Linked DNA regions of Mytilus edulis. The protein of the gene in region 1 binds, or shares a complex with, the protein of each later gene. Links are inferred from orthologs where the notes say so. Each region holds a gene or a part of one and is shown in the gene's direction. Other genes may lie near its edges.

Region 1 (7,758 bases):
GTATTTAAATTTATTTCTTAATAAACGAAAATAATTGTTGTTTAATACCTGAAATTGTAAAATATCTTTTTTTTCAACACTAGGATTTTGATTTTTGGCAGTTGGGAAAGCAATGTTATTTGCCCTAGTTGCCCAAAAGCAGGATCCCTGAAAGAATGTTCAACAAACTGCAATGTATATTATTGTGTGTACAAACAAGACCACAGGTAGAGAGGAATTTAAATATATCTAGCCAGACAATGCAATAGAAAACATTTTGCTATTTTCAGTTTTTAGGTACATTCATGTGGTAACACAAAAGCCAAATTGGTCAACTTCTTACTGGAAGTCCCTATCTAAATTTCCACATTATAAATGTTTTTTTGAGAAATCTTATTCAAATGAGCATTGGAAATTCAATTTGGATATATGTATGCACACGGGAGAATAAATCTATATGTATATATCTATCATATCTAGGAAGGAACATTAATAGAATGTCTATTATGTAAAGACATATCTATGTCTTGTTTTCTGCTTCCCAACAAAAAGATGCAGTGTTTTAAGAAAAAGTCTAAGGTGTACATGTACCTTCTTCTTTGTCCTTATCAACACAATATTCATCTGATGTTTGAGTATCTCCCTGTCCTGAATCATCTCCAGTAGCCTCGCTGGTACTCATTTGGTCTGGGGAAGGTGTGTCACCTGATGCCTGACCAGAGGTCATAACTTCAGTAGAAGACACAGAACTTAGATCAGTCTTCTTGGCCTCTGAAATATCTTCAGAACTGGGTTCGGATTGAAGCTTTTTCAGAACTCTCTAAAGAAGATAAAAATTATATATTTTTAAATGAAGCTTTAATAATACTATGCCTAATAACATGCAACCTTTGAATAGACTTATTAAGAAGGGATATAATTACGATACTGTTGTCAAGTCATTAAAGATTGCATATTTTGGCGTTAATATTGAGTCATTGATAAGGTCTTTGCATCGGAACTAAACACATTTATTCTAAAAACAGTTGTTGGCATGACACGGGTTATGTTCTTCTCATATATGTTATGATGGTATGATACTAAACCTCTAACGGGAAGGATTGTGCCTGATGTTCATATGATGAAATCATAATCTTTCAGTCAGTTTAGTTGAAGTCTGGAGCTGGCATGTCAGTTAACTGCTAGTAGTCTGTTGTTATTTATGTATTATTGTCATTTTGTTTATTTTCTTTGGTTACATCTTCTGACATCAGACTCGGATTTCTCTTGAACTGAATTTTAATGTGCGTATTGTTATGCGTTTACTTTACTACATTGGTTAGAGGTATAGGGGGAGGGTTGAGATCTCACAAACATGTTTAATCCCGCCGCATTTTTGCGCCTGTCCCAAGTCAGGAGCCTCTGGCCTTTGTTAGTCTTGTATTATTTTAATTTTAGTTTCTTGTGTACAATTTGGAAATTAGTATGGCGTTCATTATCACTGGACTAGTATATATTTGTTTAGGGGCCAGCTGAAGGACGCCTCCGGGTGCGGGAATTTCTCGCTACATTGAAGACCTGTTGGTGACCCTCTGCTGTTGTTTTTTATTTGGGCGGGTTGTTGTCTCTTTGACACATTCCCCATTTCCATTCTCAATTTTATTTTAACTCATATATAAAATGGTTTACACTATAAATACTTTTTTAAACTGTAAATAACTGTTTAGGCTAATATGTCATCTTTATATATCAGCTTATTAACATATAATGTCACTGGGAAATAAATAAATTTGGAATGTCATTGTGTCCATGTTTCCTGTACAGAAACAAAGAATACATGACACACTTAGCTATTACAAAACCTCTGGTCACATGTAAGTGAGCTAAATATATTGCTTACCTCTAATGATGACCAAATCTGAGGACATTTTTTCTTCATCATTATATGTAATTTTTTCTTCTTCCATTGTACTTTAGTATTTTCTCTATCAATATTTTTAGCAAATATTAAAGACCATGTCTGCTTTCCATCTGAAACAACCCAGTATAAACTGTATTAGTCAGCATTTTAATTTACAAGTTTATGATACATTTTATGTGAACAGAGAACAAGTGCAGATGTCTTGTCTTTATCTTCAAAGGCATTACACACTCTAAAATCTAGTTGCATGTGTTATACAAAGTCTTTATCTACTATTACTGTTTGTTTATCAATCTACATGTATTTCAGCTTAAAATTTTTGGTCTTGTCTTGAGCATTAAGATCTTTTACTTGAATTTGTTGATATTCGTCCTTACCATGAATTTGTTGATATTCTGACATCCTTACCATGAATGTTTTTTTTATTTGAAATAACATCTCAAAGTCAATTTTTAAACCTTTCTTTTATATTTTTATTAAAATGGACATATTTTACTAGTCTAAAAAGTCAGATGATTGCTGGGCTCAGAATATTGTGCACTACGCCAGTATTTTTTTGGTATGAAAGTGATGAAAAAAACAAATATTGAAAATATCCTACCTGGAAACTTTATCAGGACATACTGATCACCAAAAGATATATCCAAATCTTTCTGATTAGGTGTTAAACCTTCTTGATCAAATACCATAATGAGTTCATCTTCAGACTGTTTCCAGGTATATGAAAGTTCTATGAAAATAAATTTGAATATTAAAATGAAAATTTATTTTAATAACAGTCATGACAGTCAAAATGACAGTATATGTACCAATCAAAACATAGCTGTAAAAAAAAATATAACATCTCACCATTAAAAGAAATTCTTTTACACTGAACTGCAGCTTAGCTTAGCCTGTAGTCAATAAGCCTTTCCATTCGTCAGGGAAAACAAACTTATCGATTGAATTTTATTGAAAGCTGAGTAGTTGTTGTTGGTTACTGTCTGTCATAAAAATTGTCATATTTGTTTGTCATTTATTGATTTGTCATTAATGCTGTTTTTTGTTTTATTTCAATTGTTTAAAATTTTGCAATGTCAGTCATTTATAGGTGACTATATAGTATAGGGGTATGAGCTTTCCTTATTGTTGAACTTGGAAGGCTTTATATGGATATCATTTGGACTTATTTGGCAATAATAAGGTATCAGGTCCGTTCGCGCCCAATACACTTTCGCACCCTACACGTTCGCACCTCGCACATTCGCACCCAAAGTCCGTTCGCACACAATTTTAAAGTAAATTCTAGTTGAATAATTAGAAAATCATGATTGTTGTTTAAATTGCTTTGATGTAAATATTAGTACTGCATGAATTAAGCTTGGTATGATTAAAAAAAATGAAGATTTTAAATGAAAAACACAAAAGATAATTGTTTTTACTGTGACAGCTTGAAAAAAAAACCCGTCAGAATCTCACTTTATTTTGAAATAACATTATAGCAATACACTAACCAAAATATGATTAAGAGTTATTCAACACAACAACAACAAAACGTTGACAGAATCACACTTTATTTAGAAACTGATTATTTATTTGTTTTAACAATATACAATCCAAAACATGATTAGATTTATTCAACGCAAAAAAAACATTGTCTCAATTTATTTTGAGGCATTAAGATTTATTCAACACAAAAAAAAAATGTCTCAATTTATTTTTCTGCCAAAACTTTATTACAAAGTCATTAAACACAAAACCAATAAAAAAATTGGGCGCAAACGTGTAGGGTGGGAATGTGTAGTTGCAAAAGTGAAAGGGTGCGAACGAGAATGGGCGCGAACGTGAATGGGCACGAACAGACCCAGATTCCAATAATAACTGCTTCTTAACAGTAAAACATAAATCTAAACTGGACTAGTCTGTTCAGAGGGTTTATTTGGAACCCTTGGAATGCCTGAATACAAGACTTAGTCAATTGTGTCATAACTAAGGATACATGATGTATATATATATATTCTTTTCTTCAAAAATGAGAGATTGAGCAAAGGAAAATATCTACCAATTGGAAAGTAAGGCACTTATAAATCCCAAAGATATACATGTATGTGCTTATATATCTCATCATATACACCTTATCGCTATTTATCTGCCAATGTTGGACTACCAAAAGGTTCAGTTCTAGTAAAATTTTGACGTCACAAAAGAATTATCTGACGCCATAATGGAAAAGTGATTGTTGGATGATGTCAGTCACTCAAGCAGCGCTGATTCTCAGGTCAACTGGTACAGATTTCCATACAACAATAAGGTGTATTGATGTTGATATGACATGATTGACATTGTTTGTATAGAAAAAGAAGCACTAACAATGACTTATGCGTATTGAACCGAATTTGACATTTTGCCCAGTAATTTATAAGTGAATGGTTGTTTAATAAGTGCAAAGGAATGAGGTGTACTTTTGAAATTCGCTCTGGCTGTTGAACCTTGCTTTTCATCAGACATTTCTCTCATCTTTGTTGACATTTCTTTTGTCTCCTGGACATCAAGTGTCTTTTGTCTCTTGTGTTGTTCTTCTGCGCACACTTCGCCTGTGTGCTTTCTCTTCTTTGGACTTTGCTCTATTTTGGAGGTATCGTCTAAAATTTTAGTGTCCAGTTTTGGAACATTTAATAAATCTTTATTTTTCTGTATTATTTTTGAGCTGATTACAGAACCCAACTACTACATGCCGACAGTTTAAGAGCGAATCAAAGCTCTCGTTATATTTTCCAAATCTAATCAACCAATGGAAATGCTTGTCTGTTTTTACTTTCGGTTTATTAAGGAAAATGGCAGATGAAGGTAAACTGGCATGCACTTTTTACTAAAAAGCGATGTAACATTAACATGCATTAAAGAGATAGACAGAAATTTTACGACATGATACTCTGAAAATTCCCTCTGACACGAATAACAATAGGTCATTTCGCAAATACAAAATCATTATCAAACAAATGATAACAAAACCTGGTTGAAATAATCTGAGATAATTTGAGAGTTTAAAATTGATAAATAATTTATATGTGACACTCCTAAACGTGTCCTTCCCCCAAACGTGTCCGATTCCCCCAAACATGTCCGTAATATTCAATATTCCCCAAATGTGAAACGTGTCCGATTCTATGACCCCAAAACGTGTCCAATAATTGTTATTCGCCAAAACGAGTCCACTATAACATGCAGGAACGTCTCACGTCTTTCAGCGCAAATACAGGTATGTCCTAATTGAGGACTCCTAAATGAAATCAATAACGTTTAACGGCTATTCTTTAATTACGGACACTGTTGATATTGTGGTCATTTATTAGCATTAGTTTGTTCAATGCAGGTTATTAACGATCATCATAATTGTAAGTTCACTCTGTAACATATGCATTCACTTTAGACTGTATTTGCTTATTGGCCAGTTGCAAGTATTTCATGCTCATTTTTAGCGAACATACAAATAATTCTTGTACAGTTGAACTACAGTTTGTACTAATAAACTCCAATGATGCTTTTAAATTAATCTGAATATTGCACAACGGGCTTTCAGCATATTTGACTTCCTTTTTCAATTCTCAGTCTGGTATTTTAAAAGTTTTTCAAATCATAAACTGGTCAAATGCTGGTTATCAGGGTTTTTTTTAATAAATTTTATGTTTCGAGCATCACTAATGACACACACATAAGAGACATAACGTCCCAAGTGAAATATTTCATGCATTATTTAAACGATATAATGTTAGCAAAAATACATTTGTCCTTTCGGTGTCTTTTATAGCTTTTAAAACGGTATGGACTTTACTCATTTTTGAAGGCCGTACGGTGACGAGTTGTTAATTTCTGTGTCATGTGGTCTTTAATTGGGAGTTATCTCATTGACAATCATACCACATCTTCTTTTTTATCATTTTATTTAGTTTAAACATATTTAATTATAGTGGATTGGGAAACAAGTTTTGCAACTTATATTAATCCCTTTCCACTCTGCGGGTGCGAGTGCTGCCTTGTAGCGGCATTAGCCTGCTCTTTTTGGAAATCTGCAAGGGTTCTATTATCATACCGGGAATTGAGGATTGGGCTTAAATTTTTACGGTTATTCGTGATCAACACTAGTTAGGATTTTAATCTAAAATAATTAAGGGAGAGTAAAAACGATTTTTGTTTATCTTTAGTTAGAATTGCGCAGTGAACGGGACATTCTCCCTACACGAGGTATCTGATTGTAAATCTACAACTTAACTGAGCATGGCTGCTTACATTTACATTCAACATAGCTTAACAAACGCCCCCACTTTTACCAGGTTATTCTGTCTGTTTTGAAAAATAGATCTAAAGTTATTTTCTACTTTTTAATGAAATAGCAAAATGAGTATACATTGCTGAAAAAGCAATAACCAAATAACCTACATACTTATAATATTGACACAAATGACATTTCTAGTTAAAAAAACATATGGACACATTTGGGGGATTGAACACGTTTAAGTGTTTATTAAAAAATGGACATGTTTGGGCGTTTATACAAATGATATGGTTTGGCGCTGTTTTTACAACTAGACATGTTTTAGAGTTCAGTGACGTTGATGTGAACACGTTTGGGGGAATCGGACACGTTTGGGGGGAAGGACACGTTTCTGAGTGTTACATATATATATATATACTATAGACTCTTACAGGCACAATGTATAATATATGTATAACTACCTCTATAAATAGACAACTCTACGGCAGATCCATCCATTCAATCAGTGATGGTGATACATGTATTATCATTTTAACATAAATTCAACATCCATTAAAGAGCAAGCATATAAGTCCCTAGTAAGACCATCACTAGAGTATACTTGCTCTGTTTGGGATCCATACTTACAACAAGACATAGATAGCATTGAAAAGGTTCAAAGGAGGGCTGCACGTTTTGTTACCAACAAATACAGAAACCCCTCAAGCGTTGGTAACATGATACAACATCTTGAATGGCACAGTCTCTCTGACAGAAGAAAAGACTCCAGATTGGTAATGCTTTACAAAATTGAACACGAAAAGGTTGCAATACCTAAAAATACTAAATTAATTCCACAAACAAGACAAACAAGACATTCTAATTTGAACAGCTTCCAAATTCCATCCTGCAAAACACAGTACAGAATAGAATCCTATTTTCCAAGAACTATTACCGACTGGAACAAACTACCGGATAACATTGTAAATTCACTTAATTGCACTTCAGTAGACTCTTTCAAACTTTTCGTATTTTTTTTTAAATTGTACATTTTTCAATCTATGTCTTGTTGTAAGTTTCCTACTGTGACATAATCTTCAATTTGTTGAAAGCAGTCACTAAAAGGTAGAATAGAATAGAATAGGTAGAATCATACACGGCTGAAATATATAACTATTATGCTTAAATCACAAATGTATCAGCACAACAATCCGCAAATTTTTGTTCTTCCCTTGCTTGGATTCAGACTCATGCTATTGGGATATCGAGACAACACAGCCTGCACTGTGTCCATCCAGCCATTCCTCTAGACCACTTGGCCACCTTGACTGAACTAATAATTCAGCTTAACCTTTGGGCCGCTTTAGCGTTTAGGCTTGAATTAAAATATTGTTTGTTTGCCCTTTACCGACCGACCCGATAAATTCGTTCCGACTGAAATCTTTAATTTGTATTTACCAGCAATATTTTTTTTCTTTTTTTTTCCTTTCCTACCGAAAATCTTCTATTTTTATTTCCTGCTCAAAACTTTTGTACCAGAATCCTTGGGTTTTCATCTTCCCTGTATAAGGTTAAATCCCTTTGGTATCACGTGAGCATTTGGCATGAACACTTTTAGATAATTAACTCTGACATCATAGATACATGA
Region 2 (8,254 bases), on another chromosome or scaffold:
TACTTTAAAAGTATTTAAACTTGATAATTATGCAAGAAGTTATTCAATACAAAAGAAATAAACAATGAAACATATTCTATTTCCAGTATATATCTTATCAATAGTTTGTGTAATATTTGCCAATGTAGGTCAAACAACAATCATTTGACATTCCATTATAACAATTTTAATATTAATCATGTAAATTGAAGCTTTTTCTTCAATAAAAGTTCAATATATAGAGTTATATTGAGTGTTTATATACTGACAAACTTGAAAAACTTACAATTTGAAGAAAGTTGTACCAAGCTGTAACAGCAGTACATGTGGAAGACCATGCTCATGTACAATCAATACACCCTCAACCGATCGTCTCATACCAATCTTCTCAAAATCTTCCCTCATCCTGGCAAATCTGGCTGGTACAGAACTATCCTTTTCATAAAGAGGCTCTTTTGTACCAAATGTGTAGTTAGTTAAAGGATACCTGAAAAAATTATTTAATATATTATTCTCCAATTTCTCATAACTGATAAAAGTTGCAAGGCAGTAAATATTTAACAAATCAAAAATTGGTGAATTATACTTCAATTCAGGTACATGTGTAATTCACATTCTATTACATGTATATACATGTGAGCTGCGTCGGATAGAAATCGACCTTATGCAAGTACACATTTACATGTACACAACTGTGATTGGTTTTAAAAACATTCAACATGTTCGAATATAAAATAAAAGATGAATTTTAGTCTGTTTTATAGTGTTCTTAAAACAACTCAAAGTTTCAAACAGTTACCGACTTTTGATATAGATTTTTTCCATCAGAAATAGGATAAAAAAAAGTATTGATATTCACTTGCATAAGGTCGATTTCTGTGTAATTCACATTCTAATACATTCTACTGCAATAGACATCCTTCTACTTAGTTGCATTCCCTTATATACTTTGGTTTAATTTCTAGTTTGTGCTGCATAATAAATTATAATCATGAAGAAGCTTGATAGATACAAGGGATCCACTCCATCTGATTAATGATGTCATAAAGAAGCTAAAAGCATAACTGACAAACTTTTCCATTGAAGGACATAACTGAAGAGTGGTCTATTAATTCATATCATCAAAACTAGGGATGTCAACAAGTACTCAAGTATTGCTCAACTATTTGGTTTCCTGTTAGAATGTTATTGTTTTCTTAAGTTTAAACAGAAAACATTTTTATTGGGTATAATTTTGTGTTTCCATTTGGTAAGTGTGTAACCGAGCGAGTACTTGAGTATCGCTCAATAAATCCAACTTGTATGTTATACTTGATTAGTAAATTTTTACAGAGTTGACATCCCTTATCAAAACCACATTTTCTTAAGAACTCCAAAGCTGAATATTAACCAATAGATATGATCGAAAAACTATATTTTATATGGTGTTATTATAAGTTATCTACGTTCATATCCGTAGATATGGGTATTTTAACACCCTGAAGTACCCCAGTACACCATGAGGCGTATCGTTCATATCCATAGATATGGGTATTTTAACACCCTGAAGTACCCCAGTACACCATGAGGCGTAGCCGACGCTATAATTATTTTGAAGATGCTATTTTACTTGTCCTCAATTTTGAACTTTCATCTATTATCGATTATGATCATAAAAATTATATCACCTTTAATTGTAATCCCTTTAAGTCGGACACTAAAGGCAATTAAGAGATTAAATAGCTAGGTGTTAATTGCCCTCAGGGTGATAACTGTAAAAGTGTTTGGATGCGAATATCCCAAGCTGACACTTGTGACATGACTAAATACCACGTGTCTGCAATCACCAATATCGACATGGAAATATGCAATCACAAACAATATTAAAAAAAATACACTTATTTTTTTTTACGCAAAATGTGATGCTATCCAAAATTTCTGGGGAGAACACTGTTAATGAAAAGTACAAGTCAGTGTTCTCCCCAGAAATTTTTACGTTAAAAAAAATAACAGTATTTTTTTTAATGTCATTTGTCGCGTCGTGTTGATGCTCTATTTCCTTTATATGTTTTAGTTTATATTGTTCAATTCATAACTGAGAATACAATTAAACTGTAACCACAAAAACAGTTGTTTCAGTTTATGTTTTCTTTATTCATTTATAGTAATCAGAATTATTTTTTTCCTTTTGTGCCAAATAAAAATAAATATGTGGTTTCAGTTACCCAATAATAAGTCAAATGAATGAATGGTTCATTATAGTGCAACCGGTATATATATACAAAACTAAATATTTAGTACACAAAATTAACAATTTTTTATATTATTTTAAGTAAAGATAAAGTAGCCAAAAAAATCCTCAATTTAAAAACTTTTTTTTATCATGTTTATGAAATTCATTGTTTCATGGCACTCAATGAATTAGTCCCAGTTGTTTATCTTTACATCAAAATGATATGTATTTTTAACAAAGTCATCTAACAAATAGTCTGTTAATACGTAGTTTTCTTTCGTGGTATATTTTTTCTGTCTACTGTCCATCTGTTGTCATTATCGTGAAAATGCGGATTTTTGTCATATCTAGTCCGGTTCCTATCCGTAGTTTACACAAAAATGTGCAATGGCGGCCGTAGAAAAATTTACGAAAATGAGTCTGAGAATAAACATTGTTTGACAAGAGATTGTGAATGAATAAGACGCTTTTAATGCATTAAATGGATTAAACATAAACTTCAGCCAATTATGATAACTTTTTAAAGAAATATTAAACTTATTTTAGCTCTAAACCAAAATTCTCGCTCTCGTATTACTGGAAGAGAAAGAAAGTAATTTTTGGAGAGTTGCACAAATAAACGACCTTTTAAAAAAAAATAAAAATCGTTTCAATCTTTGAAATTTCGTAATATAAAACGTAGATTTCGAATTGTGTTGTGATTGCATTATTCCATGTCGAAATTGGTGATTGCAGACACGTGACGTGGTATTAATCATGTCACAAGTGACAGCTTGGGATATTCGCATCCAAACAGTTATCACCCTGAGGGCAATTAACACCTAGCTATTTAATCTCTTAATTGCCTTTCGTGTCCGACTTAAAGGGATTACAATTAAAGGTGATATAATTTTTATGATCATAATCAATAATAGATGAAAGTTCAAAATTGAGGACAAGTAAAATAGCATCTTCAAAATAATTATAGCGTGGCGGGAATAATTATAGCGTTGCGGTAATAATTATAGCGTCGCTGGAATTATCATAGCATCACGGTGAAAAAATATAGCGTCGCGGTACCGCGACGCTAAAACGGCCTGGGGAGAACGAATCCGGGTCCGTTTGCGCCCATTCACGTTCGCACCCACACATGTTCGCCCCCTTTCATTTTCGCACCCTACATGTTCGCACCCAAAGTCCGTTCGCACCCTACATGTTCGCGCCCAATTTTAATTGGTTTTGTGTTTAATAACTTTGTAATCAAGTTTTGGCAAGTACGTAGTATTCTTATAAGTATAATTGTTTTCATGGTCTCAAAATAAAGTGAGACAGCATTTTTTTTGTGTTGAATAAATCTTAATCATGTTTTGGTTAGTGTATTGTTAAAAAAAATTATATTCCTTTCTAAATAAAGTGGGATTCTGTCAACGTTTTATTTTGTGTTGAAATTCAGTCATCTGTATATAATTTAATTAATTGTTTCCCTATGTTTTAAGGTGTAAATAGTTGCTCAAACTATACCCTTTGGGTAGTGCTCCACATTTAATGGAGGAATATACAAGAAACTGAACTGAACTGAACTGTTGAATAATTGTTTATCATGTTTTGGTTAGTGTATTGCTATAACTTTTTTTCATTGACTTGTTTCAAAATGAAGTGAGATTCTGACTACGTTTCTTTTTTTTTGTGTGTGTTGGATTAAATTTTATCATGTATAGTGATATATAATAGTGTATTGTTTCATTATTTCAGATCAAAGGGACCAAGCTGTTCAAAACAATTATCTTTTGTGTTTTTCATTTAAAATCTTCAATCTTTTACTCATACCAAGCTATAAATACATTCAGTATTTACACGAAAGCAATTAAAAACAACAATCATGATTTTCAAATTATTCAACTGGAATTTGAATTAAAATTGGGCGCGAACGTGTAGAGTGCGAACGGACCTTGGGTGCGAACGTGCGAGGTGCGAACGTGTAGGGTGCAAAAGTATATTGGGCGCGAACGGACCTGATACCGGGGAGAACACTGCAAGTATAATAGGAAACAAATTTAAAAAAAAGCTTAACATTTTATTGAAAAGGCAGAGAATTTTGAACTCGTATTATTCCAGGTCAAAATATCCAAAAGCGAGAGATTTTAATCCTGTTCGGGACTGGACTGGCAAGTGGGAGATTTCCGTAATTTTGTTGTTTGCCCTAGAGTCTCCCGCTCGCAATGTGAGGGTTAGCTGGTATGGTTCATGACCTGATTAAGTTGGGTCTGTGGTTTACGCATTCTTCAAAAGAACTAATTAACCAGGAACACTTATCCGGAATCATACAGATCCTGTCTTGCTGTTGGAGTGTTGCACTAGTACTAGTAGTAGTAGTCTACAAAAGAAAGATCATGAATTTCTGATAGATAAATTAAAAGACACATGAACCTATATGGCTAGAGTGCTTACAAATTGATTGGTCTGTCGAGAGTTATGAGAGGATTTGCAGTGCCATATTTTGGGAAGGATGCGGAATTAGATTGTTTAGGCCAACCGTGGGGAACGCCGTGTGCTCTTCCATGTGACGCCATTGTCAATGTTTTCCTACTTTATTCTGGTTCTTTTTATATTAATTTGAGGCAAATCAGCAACAAAATTACAAACAGGGAACCAGTTATTTTAGAAAAGTGCCCTTCTGGGTCTTTTAAGCGCTTTAAAATAGAAAATATTTCGTTTGTTTGAATTGCAGATAATTGACACTGATCAAATTAAAAAAAAAAGAGAATTGATTTCGAGATCGAACTATTTACCTATTTACGAACCTGATTTAAGACACCACCATGTCAGATTCAGATGCATGGAGCGATATCCAAGCTATCAAAAGCAAACAGAGTAGCTTGAGAGCTAAAATGCTCCAGAGACGAAAAGAAAGAGAGGAAATTGCAGCCGAAATCACCAAGTCTAGCATCTCACCAACAACAAGTAGTGAAGGTGAAACACCATTATCTGGTTCTCATTGAAATTGTCCATTTTGCAACTGAGAATTAGCACACAAAATAGCTGACCCATATATTTTTTTTTCCATTGTCGTTAATGTTGATCTTATTGCTATTTTTACACCATTTTACTGGAGGTCTCATGAATCTGGGTCTGTTCGCGAGCAATCACCTTCGCGCCCATTCACGTTGGCGCCCTTTCACTTTCCCACCCTACACTTTCGCACTCAAAGTCTGTTCGCACCCTACACGTTCAAGACCAATTTTTATGGGTATTGTGTTATACAATTTGGAATCGAGTTTGGGTAATAAAGTGCATGAAGTGTATTGCTATTTATAAATATTTTTTTCATTGTTTCTACATATAGTGAGGTTCTGATAACATTTTTTTGACGTGTTGAATAAATCTTTATAATACCGTTAAAGCAAGTGTATTGCTCTACATAAAAATGATTTGTTCATTTTTTCTAAATAAAGTGAAATTCTGACAATGTTTTTTATGTGTTGATAAAATCTTAATCATATTTCGTAAGTGTATTGCTATGAATATTTTTTTTTAAAAGAGATCAAATTTAGGAGCCAAGCTGTTAAAAACAATTATCTCTCGTGATCTTCAAAGTTTTACTCACTCATAACAAGATAAATACATGCAGTATTTACATCAAAGCAAGTTAAATCAACAATCATTATTTTTAGTAAAAGTGAATAGAAATCTATGAAATTTTAACACAAGGTTTATGACCACAAAAGGAAGATTGGGATTGATTTTGAGAGTTTTGGTCCCAATATTTTAGGAATTAGGGGCCAAAAAGGGCCCAAATAAGCATTTTCTTTGTTTTAGCACTATAACTTTAGTTTAAGTAAATAGAAATCTATGAAATTTTGACACAAGGTTTATGACCACAAAAGGAAGGTTGGTATTGATTTTGGGAGTTTTGGTTCCAACAGTTTAGAAATTAGGGGCCAAAAAAGGGCCCAAATAAGCATTGTTCTTGGTTTTCGCACCATAACTTTTCAAATTGGTCTACATTAAAGTCCAAAGGGTCCAAAATTAAACTAAGTTTGATTTTAACAAAAATTGAATTCTTGGGCTTTTTTGATATGCTAAATCTAAACATTATACAATGCATATTCACTTTTACTACCGACTGATAAATTAAAACAATCTTTACCATTCAGTGATAACAAGCACTTTATTTTATATTTTAATATTTTATGATGTACTTAAATGAGTAGTTATTGTTGCAAACTCCATTAGAAGTTTGAATTGAGATCAGTTTTGGAAAAAGGTAAACATGGTAAAGGGGGATGTGAAAAAAAAATGGGAGGGGGGGGGGGGGGTAAATTTTTCTCATTTCAGATTTCATAAATAAAAAGAAAATTTCTTTAAACATTTTTTTGAGAGGATTAATATTCAACAGCATAGTGAATAACTCAAAGGCAAAAAAAATATTTTAAGTTCATTAGACCACATTCATTCTGTGTCAGAAACCTATGCTGTGTCAACTATTTAATCACAATCCAAATTTAGAGCTGAATCCAGCTTGAATGTTGTGTCCATACTTGCCCCAACCATTCAGGGTTCAACCTCTGCGGTCGTATAAAGCTGCAACCTGCGGAGCATCTGGTTTGAATTTGAATTTAAATAAAAATTTTGTACAAGAACTTTTAATTGATTTTGCCTCAAATCATGAACTTTATTTTTCAGATACAAAGAGCCAATCAGAATCAGCAAGCCCTGTTAAAGCAATACCATCTACATCTTCCAGTCCAGTAAAGTCCACACCGGCTGCTGAACCTACAAAGATAGACCCTGTTCTAGAGAAGAAAGTAATGTTGGCTCTCTGTGACATAGATCTAGACATACCCTGTAGTTCTAATGTTATAGCAGAACATTCATCTAAAATACTCAAACAGACCGTTAAACTTGATGTTGTGGAAGAATTACTGAAGAAATTTGCAGGACAACAGCTGATAAAGTAGGTGAAATAAATATGAACATGATGAAAGAAATATACATGTATAAGATATGAGTTATATGCCAATACTAGTACTATAGCAATGCAGCTACACCAAAATATTTTTTTTTTATCTCTGCAGTTAATAAATGTAGATTTCCAAAACCAGGAGAAAATAAAATCCATATGCTTTAATGCTACATTTCAATATGTCATCATGGTCGTAAGGGATTGAAAGGTGTAGACATTTTGTAATCAGAGCAAGACAAGTTGACATGGAGTCAGGACAGTGTGTTCATGCAGTAAGTGCAGGATGGCATGTTCTCCTGTTGACTATAATAACCTTATGTCCTAGCCTGTTAAGAATCTATCGCAACCTGTCAGTGTAGTGCAACGCAGGGTATTATAATGACAATTTTCACCTCTGGATGTTAAGCAGCGATCAATCAATCAAACCATTATCCAAATAAAATATCCAATTTTAAGGTATATGAATACACCTTATCGCTATTTGTCTGCCATTACTGGATATCACACAGGTTCCTGTAAAATGTTGGCATCATAATACAAAATATCTGATGCCACAATGGAAAAGTGAATGTTGTATCATGTCAATAGTTCAAGCGGCACAGATTTTAGGTTCAGGAGGGAATAGGTCAATAGTTCAAGCGGCACAGATTTTAGGTTCAGGAGGGAATAGGGATACATTGTAAGGTGTAAAGAAATTTAAATATTTTAATGATGTAATATTTTTCTTTCAGTATAACAGTAAAAGATGACAGTTTAGAAGATGAACAAGGCAAAATTACTGTCAATAGTATGGATATAACTAAGGTCTGTCTTATTGTATAAATTATGAAAGATAGCAAAATTACATTATTTAAGAACAATATCAAGTTAGGGGAGGAATTTGTAAAAGTGGAAAATCTCTTGTTTTCAAATCCTAATAAAACTGGCATATTGTAATGTATACGTTAATATTTTCAAATGAAATATTGTTTACTCTATGTTAGGTCTCAATTTACTGTCAATGGCATGGCTATATATACAGTCCGCCAAAAGTTAAGCACCACCTACTTTTATTGCATCGATTTTTTTTCAAATTTAAAAAATCAATTGTTCCTCGAAAAATAGAAAACAATCATATAGCA
Region 3 (8,066 bases), on another chromosome or scaffold:
AATCATTATTGTATGCAACACAAATGATTATTGTATCTAATGCATGGTCAATATACAACTGTCACCTCCTTAAAACTGTTGCTGAAGAAGAAAGCATTTTTCAAATAGTTTGCTCTGACTTCGCCACACAGCCTTGATTGACCTTGAACTCTCGAAACTATAATATCGGGATCTAACACGGTAAGGTAAGGTTTTTGATTCGGAATCTATAACAAAAATTTCGAAGGTGATACAGTAAGTTGAGTAACTGTAAGATGTCTAAAAAATTAGACATGTTAGATGATCCTAGATTGGTCGTTCCTTTTTTCTATTCTTTTAAATTTTTATACCAATTGTATGTTTATTTATTCATTGTTCTTTTTGCATGTCTACAAACAGGACCACCGCAATTAAATCTCTAGATGCATGAAAATAATGCAGATTTAAATCAAAGGAAATAAATTTTATCTGAAATAGATCTCATGTTAAATTTATCTTGACTTTGTAAATGTATGGTATAGTCCATGTAAAGTACAATGTGCATTTGGCACATGTGGCTGTCGGTTATTGTCTTCTTTTCTTTCTTTTTTTTTTTTTTGGGGGGGGGGTTAATTTTATACTAAAGACAGCATGTTAGGCTCTTAAGATTTCGAATAATTATTCCTATTTTTGAAAATTTTGTTCTAAACATTCTATGTTTTCTCACCTTCAAAAAGATACCATACTAATTATCCTTAATGTAATATATCTGAAAAGCCTTGGAAGTAGAAAAGGAAGACGAAAAATGTCCGCATTAGGATGTAAATGGCAATACTTCTACTTGTTTTGGTTACATGGATAAATAAATAAAATTTCTTTCTTTTAGTTTATTGTTATATATTATGTAGAACATGTCTAATATTACAAAAGTCCAGTAAAAATTATACAAAAACTTCTATTTATTTCATCAACTCTTATTAAAATGTTGCGGCCTTATTAGCGACATCACTTCAACCAATCTAATTAAAGTATTGATCTCTGATTACGTTATAATACATATTCAACCAATCTAATTAAAATATTGATCTCTGATTACAGTATAACGTAATCAGAGATCAATATTTTAATTAGATTGCACTTCAACCAGAGACATATAATACATGTATTATATATGTTTATGGCCCGATAACGCAGTTATTTTTCAATTTCCAGTTATTTCGTAGTGCATTTCTTTTAGACAATAAATGGAAATTTCAAAAAAATCCCACCAGAGCGTTCTCAATAGAATTTTAACAGTGTGATGCACTACTTTTGAGACATATTATATCGAAATAATAGAACTCTTCATCAGCTCTAACTCAAAATATGAACAATTTTTGTTTTAAGGGGGTCTTGAATTTTTTGACAGCTTTTGGAATACTGACTATTATCCTGTATAATTTCTGCTGGACCAAATCACTACGTTTAAGGTATTTAAAAACATGACAGAGAAATACATTTGGAAAGGGTATAAAAATGGCAAGAACACACTGTCTACACTAGGTCCGGGACTATATTCGTACTGTGTTCCCGGACCCTCTGTTTCAACCTAAGAGATAACAACTGGATTTTTGTTAACTTACTATCATAACTGCATGCTGTGCTCTATTTAATAGTAAGCACAAAGAAAAAGTTGAACAAAAATAAAAACAGTGAACGCATTATTGAAAGTTCCGTCAATAAATTGGTTTTTGGGTAGCCATTTGGTATTGTATCCAGATAATAACTATCTATTCCTCTTGGAACTTTTGGAAAAATAATTGGAATGTCTACGTAATATACATCTAAAAGATTTTCTTTCCGGAAAAGAACTTTTAGGTATACACACAATGTATGCCGCGGGATACTTTCAATGTGATAAATATGTCACCTTTCATAATTGACATCGGATAGAAATCCTGGAAATCTATGCCATCGTCATTTTTCTAGCAAATTGTATAAAATAAGGAGATGTGGTATGCAGTTCGAAAGTAGGTTATTGAGACAACTAGCCACCAAATATAAAAAAAAAAGAAGATGTGGTATGATTGCCAATGAGGCAACTGTCCACAAGAGACCAAAATGACACAGACATTAACAACTATAGGTTACAGTACGACCTTCAACAATGAGCAAAGCCCATACCGCATAGTCAGCTACAAAAGGCCCCGATATGACAATGTAAAGCAATTCAAACGAGAAAACTAACGGCCTTATTTTTATGAAAAAATGAACGAAAAACAAATATTTAACACATAAACAAACGACAACCACTGAATTACAGGCTCCTGACTTGGGACAGGCACATACATAAATAATGTGGCGGGGTTCATATTAAGAAAATGTAAGCAATTGTAGGCAACCGTTCGTCTTTTCACCACGAGAAAATACCGTATATTAAGGTATCTTTCGCCCCTCTTGTATATAAAAGACCAAGTGTCCACTACATAAGACACATTTTACCAGGACTAGTTTTTCGTTGACACTAATTTCAATTGAATTGACAGTTTTCACTTTTCAACTTTCTGCACAACACTACTAAAAATCCTTATCAGCCATATTAATTAAAGTTTTCTTATCGAATCAAACAATGATCCTTTGAAAATTGTGATTGCAAATGTGATTAAGCTTTCTTCTGTAATAGTAAATATAATAGATTCGCTTACATAACTGGGACTGTGTGGATATGACTAAAGCTGTGAGTCTCTCCTTGACGACTACACTATTGTATTGCACGTTTTGGTAATTAAAGATTATCGTTGTTCATCTCGCTTTATATAGTATATAGAGTGACCGCTGTTAATAATAACTTAAAATTGATAGTGAATTGCAAATACAAGTTATTTCTAGTACTTTATGTTCATGATATCCAATAAAACACGAAAATAATCGAAATTACGGAAATCATAAAAAATATATACAACTGATTTTTGGAGAGAGAAAAAATTGTCCTGTCCTCATGGCCAAGTACCTATCTAATCTATGAACAAAACCAATGTCTAAAAACATATAGCTAAAATGTGTGGGTAACGCTTTAATAATGTGTGGGTAACGCTTTGATAACATGCGTCCATGTCCCCTCCTTCTTAAAGTGTCAAATTGTGTTTGATTACTAACATCAAAGTTTAAAGTAGAAATTTCTAGGTGGTATCATCGGGTGTCTTTCGCCATCTTGGATTGCAAAAATCAGAGAATCTAAGGTCCAGATTTTCAATCAAATTAGCAAATTTTGATGCAGAAATGCAGATAACAATTGTGAATTTGCATTTAAAAAAACAAATTTATAAGATTTTTACTTAATTATAAATATCAATTAATTTTAAGTGTAGATTATATTTTGCTTGATTCTTAATGTTGTTGAATTGGCATTTTAAGAGGAGGTAACTCTGAAATAGTACATTTTCTGAAGGAATCTAGATGGACTTTTTGTTAATTTGTATTTTAGCCGGGAAAAACGCACGGTGACCCTATCTTTTCTCAGTTTGATATTCTCAAAGCATTTCAAGTCTAACAGTTATCTTCGACTATGCTATTTTACAATTCTATCCTTTAGTTTAGCTTCTAATCACATAATGATGTTTTTTCCTGTATATAAACTATACAAAATGTTTGTTTTATTTTGTCACAAGCTGTAGCTTGGGAAAATGCGCGGTGACCTATAATTTTCCATATATCAATATATATACTGTTGTTTCTTATTTGTGTTTGTAACTATGTATACTGTATTGTTTATTATATTTGTAAAATAAGAATATTACAATGATATTATATTATGCTCCTTGTGAGCCCATTTTATGGAAATAAAGCATCTATCTATTTATATACTTCGTTTTGGAAAAGTATGAAGAAATTCTATCATCTTTAATTTAGACTTCATACCACCATAACTTTCAAAAGCGAAATTTTTAAAACTATTAAATTTGAATTTTTGTTTCGTAAAAGAGTCGAAATTAGTTTAAAGTCATATAGTTTCAAGATTTTAAAAAGTCAAAATTTCGAGATTTGAAAGTTAAAATTTCGAGTCAAAGTCAAAATTTAAGATTTGCAAATTTTGACTTTAAAAAGGTGTATTGCCAATTTAATTTTTACGTCCTGAATACGCTTCCGTAGTTTCTCACATTCAATATTATATAATCTTTAAATTCCACACAATATTTTAGGAAACAGAAAAATAAATAGGTATGGCCTTTAATCGATTTTACTGGTTCCCGTTTAAATAGTGTAATTATGCTTTAAAGTACAAGTAAATGACTTGGTAACAGTTTACTATGCTATCCCATAATGCTCTGTTCACATAATTACAATGGCAGCCTCCTTTCGATGAAAAAAGGGTGAAAATTCTCTACTAAATTTATTGCTGACAGTCAATAACCTAAGTAAAGCAGTTAGCAACGAATACAGAACCTTCTTTTCTTTGTGCATCACAACTTTGAACTGAATACTGAGGGTGCAGAAGCACACAAATTCGTACAGTCGTACAGGTAAAATCTTGAGTTTAAAATGTCGGCCATGCCATTTCGCATAATTCACATATTACTCAAAGACGCAAATATACGAAGTACCGAAACGAAAATGCAAATAACAACCAAGAAATAAACATATTTTCCGAAATTAACCGGTAATCACGGTTGGCATAATCCTTTATCAGCTCGTTTAAAAGCTAACCAATAGATACCATTTTACATGTCACATGCTCAAAACACTTCCTGGAAAACCAAAAACAAAAGTGAAAGTATTTGTAAATACCTTCCTATACAAAATAGGTGTTTGGTTAGTTGAGAGGACAGCTAAAGAAATTTGCTTTACAATGGCAAACAGCATTAATGTTATTTTAACAGGGAAAAGGGTAAAGCCTGATGTCTTGACAAATGACCCAAGTGACAAAATGGAATTGCACAAGGAAAAAGTAAAAAAATTCAGAAAGAAAAGTAAATGATTCATTACATTGATTTATGTTATTGTCGTTTTAGGTTTAATCTTTGTATTCTATTGTTACTGAAGATATGTGATATATATTGGATCAAAACACAATGCACTTATAAATACTCCCATTTATACTTTCACTATTACATTATACTTATTCAATAAAATTTATGTTTCCAGATTGCTGAACATAGACGCAAGCATTACAAGTTATATTAACAAAGGGATAAAAATCAATAAATATTCCATACTTTTAACAATTGTTTAAGCAAATGTTATTTTCAAGAGATTCTTACAATTATTTTTACTGACAATAACAATTAAAGGAACATTGTTTAAAGTTTCAATCAATAAGCAAGTAATAACAAAAAAAACATGTCCCTCCATGCTATTTTTGCAGCAGCATTTTGATCATATATTCTTCATGCTTAGTTGATGTTGCATCTTATACATTTTGTATTTTACAGAAATGTCTGAGAGCTCAGCTTCACCTAAAAGGGCAAGTATTAACTTTTGAACACCTATTTTCTCCTCTTATAGGATATTGCAAAGATGTATGTTAATGACAACAGACTAATATTATTTGCACTAGATAGTCATGAAGAAAATTTATTAATTAACATGTTTAAAGTTGTTAAAAATACAGTTGATAATAGTTGGTTCAACCCGTTCATCTACCAGAACTTGAGAATTCAATAGTGTAAAACCACCTCTTTTATCATGTTTTTGTCTGGTTTTTAAGTTGTCAAGACAGTTTTTAAATTTCTGTTCAAACTTGCAATGATTTTAAATAAACCATTTTAAAACCAAAAGTTTTATGCCTAATTATTATTGCTGATACAAATATGTAAAACACTATATAACATGTATAATGATATAATAAAAAAAACATCATGCAGATACAGTGATTTTCCAACCCTCATTTTGGGGCCGAATTTCGGCCCCATTCCCAAAGAGAAATATGCTCTTTTTTTCCCAATTTTCAGCTCTAAAATTCCCAATCGTATATGGACATCGTCGCGAGATTTTGTTATTGTCGTATCTCCGTATCGTGTATTATTTTGTTGACAAATCTCTGAGCGTTCTGGGTATTTCGGGAGTTATCATTATCGTTCACTTAAGACGATGATTGGTTTGCAATCTTTTTTGGATTGCATTGCAATCTACGATATTCTGGTCACGTTTGCGCTTGAAACATCCGAATGAATAATTCAATGACAAAGCAAAAAAATGAGACATAATGTAAACAAAATGAACGTAGATACATTCGACTTTTATTTTTAATCCTTTTCCTTAAAAAGATAGCTTATTTTGTAGGCAATTCATGCAGTTAATCCTTCTCAGAATGCAGGATTTTGCACCTAATTTTCAAAATTTTCTTGGGGGGGGCATGCCCCCAAACCCCCCTAGCAAGGCGCACACGTCTTGCGCCGTGTGCCCGCCGTCGTAAAGACAAATCATATTTTTCCCAAACCATAATTTTTTTCCCAATTGCATGGGCCCCAGGACCCTTCCCTTAAACGCCAGGAAAATCACTGAGATAATAAAAATACTGATAAAATTTAAACAGTCACATTTTGCATGTTTAGATACACCATGTTCGAACATTCAAATCAATTGATAAAAATACTGCTTTTTTGACAAAATCTACTGGAAGAAAAATTGAGTGATAATTTTGAACATTAGATTTCTGATCGAAAGATGTAATAATTGTTGTAATGAAAACGTTTGATTTTTGGTGTTGACTGTTTTTCTGAACAAATGGTTGTTTGGTTGCCCCATAGTTAATTATATTAATAATTTCAATTTATATTCTAGGCTCGTTTAGACATGATGGCTCTAGATGATATGCCAAGGGAAGAACTTGTAATAAGGTAAGACTTTTTATACACTATTATTAAAGAGAGATTTCAGAAATATAAGATGGATTTAAATTTCAACCTCTAAATACCAAAAACGATATTTTACCAAGTTTTAAAAAGGACAATCATGCACCCTATATTCAAAAAAGGTTATTGAATTTTATCACCTGGCTATCTGGGCAATGTGAACTTTTACAATTTATGTCTGTTTTTGAATTTTTCAAAATCCTCTGAAGCCACAGGATCAATATTATACTGTATACTGAAAAAGTTGATAAGATTTTGGTTACACAGAAAATGTACATTATTTAAAAAAATGTATTAATGAGTTATCAAATTTTTAAATGACAAATATTATACCATAGTCAGTGTTAAGTTAGTTATCTGTATATGTTTTATGGCAATCAATATGTGACACTTTAATAAACAAATTTATATATATATATATTATATATCTTGTCAATTTTACTTTACAGATTGAGAGATCAGGACAAGTATGTGAAGTCCTTGGAAGAAAAGAGCAAAAAAGGTATGCATGGTATGCTCATGGTAGGGTTGTCTCTTTGACACAATCCTCATTTCCATTCTCAATTTTATTATAGTTAAATGATTCGTCATCTACTAGTAAAAAAATAAAGGAACTACAGGTCTTTACTCTCTCCATCTGTCAGTCTAATTCAATAGACCATCTACAAAATTTTCACCTTCATCATGTTCATATTGATAAAATGGTATATGAGTTGAAGATCAAACAGAAAAGCTCAATCACACAACTTTTAAATCAAAATAGACATTAATATCCCCACATGGTACTAAACTAATGCTAACTACATACAATTCTTCTTTGACAAGTTATCATATGATTTTCAAATCCTCAATTCAGCAGATTTAGCTCAGCTGATTAAAATAGTATTAGAAAACAATGTATTTAGATTTAATGGACACATCTATAAACAGATAATAAGCGCTCCCATGGGAGGTATTTTACCGCCTACATGCACAGATTTACAGTACAGAACACTCATTAAATTACACTGTCAATATAGAGGTGACGGCTTTATGGTCTTCACTGGTAATATATTACAAATAGAGAATTTTTTTAGCATTGTTAACAAGATTAACAGTCAGTTAAAATTTACATATGAAGTATCTGACAAGTTAATGACCAACTTAGATTTAGAGGTTTATAAAGGTGATAGATTTCATATAAATGGAATCTTGGATGTCAACTCTCACATTATAATGACAGAAACTTATCAATATTGACCACCTAATAGCTCTCATCCACAGAGTACTATTAAAAGT

The links. Proteins that work in one complex are often made in the same cells at the same time.
Region 2: E3 ubiquitin-protein ligase Hakai-like (region 1) and N(6)-adenosine-methyltransferase catalytic subunit METTL3-like share a complex: the UniProt entries of both Homo sapiens proteins name them as parts of the WMM complex. The link is inferred for Mytilus edulis from reciprocal best matches to the Homo sapiens genes CBLL1 and METTL3.
Region 3: E3 ubiquitin-protein ligase Hakai-like (region 1) and pre-mRNA-splicing regulator WTAP-like share a complex: the UniProt entries of both Homo sapiens proteins name them as parts of the WMM complex. The link is inferred for Mytilus edulis from reciprocal best matches to the Homo sapiens genes CBLL1 and WTAP.

Annotation. Positions count from the first base shown.
Region 1 is NC_092344.1:88,732,622-88,740,379, reverse strand, and holds the start of E3 ubiquitin-protein ligase Hakai-like, read left to right. Parts: upstream 1-4,570; 5' UTR 4,571-4,692; coding exon 4,693-4,705; intron 4,706-7,758. Other genes in the region: ubiquitin carboxyl-terminal hydrolase 19-like, read right to left, coding at 571-799, 1,859-1,989, 2,481-2,609, 4,321-4,387. UniProt on the Homo sapiens protein: E3 ubiquitin-protein ligase that mediates ubiquitination of several tyrosine-phosphorylated Src substrates, including CDH1, CTTN and DOK1. Targets CDH1 for endocytosis and degradation.
Region 2 is NC_092348.1:95,909,169-95,917,422, reverse strand, and holds the start of N(6)-adenosine-methyltransferase catalytic subunit METTL3-like, read left to right. Parts: upstream 1-4,865; 5' UTR 4,866-4,989; coding exon 4,990-5,140; intron 5,141-6,853; coding exon 6,854-7,124; intron 7,125-7,864; coding exon 7,865-7,937; intron 7,938-8,254. Other genes in the region: cleavage and polyadenylation specificity factor subunit 5-like, read right to left, coding at 266-466, 4,619-4,740. UniProt on the Homo sapiens protein: The METTL3-METTL14 heterodimer forms a N6-methyltransferase complex that methylates adenosine residues at the N(6) position of some RNAs and regulates various processes such as the circadian clock, differentiation of embryonic and hematopoietic stem cells, cortical neurogenesis, response to DNA damage, differentiation of T-cells and primary miRNA processing.
Region 3 is NC_092353.1:21,213,342-21,221,407, forward strand, and holds the start of pre-mRNA-splicing regulator WTAP-like, read left to right. Parts: upstream 1-4,677; 5' UTR 4,678-4,783; coding exon 4,784-4,904; intron 4,905-5,366; coding exon 5,367-5,398; intron 5,399-6,717; coding exon 6,718-6,773; intron 6,774-7,237; coding exon 7,238-7,290; intron 7,291-8,066. Other genes in the region: superoxide dismutase [Mn], mitochondrial-like, read right to left, coding at 66-97. UniProt on the Homo sapiens protein: Associated component of the WMM complex, a complex that mediates N6-methyladenosine (m6A) methylation of RNAs, a modification that plays a role in the efficiency of mRNA splicing and RNA processing.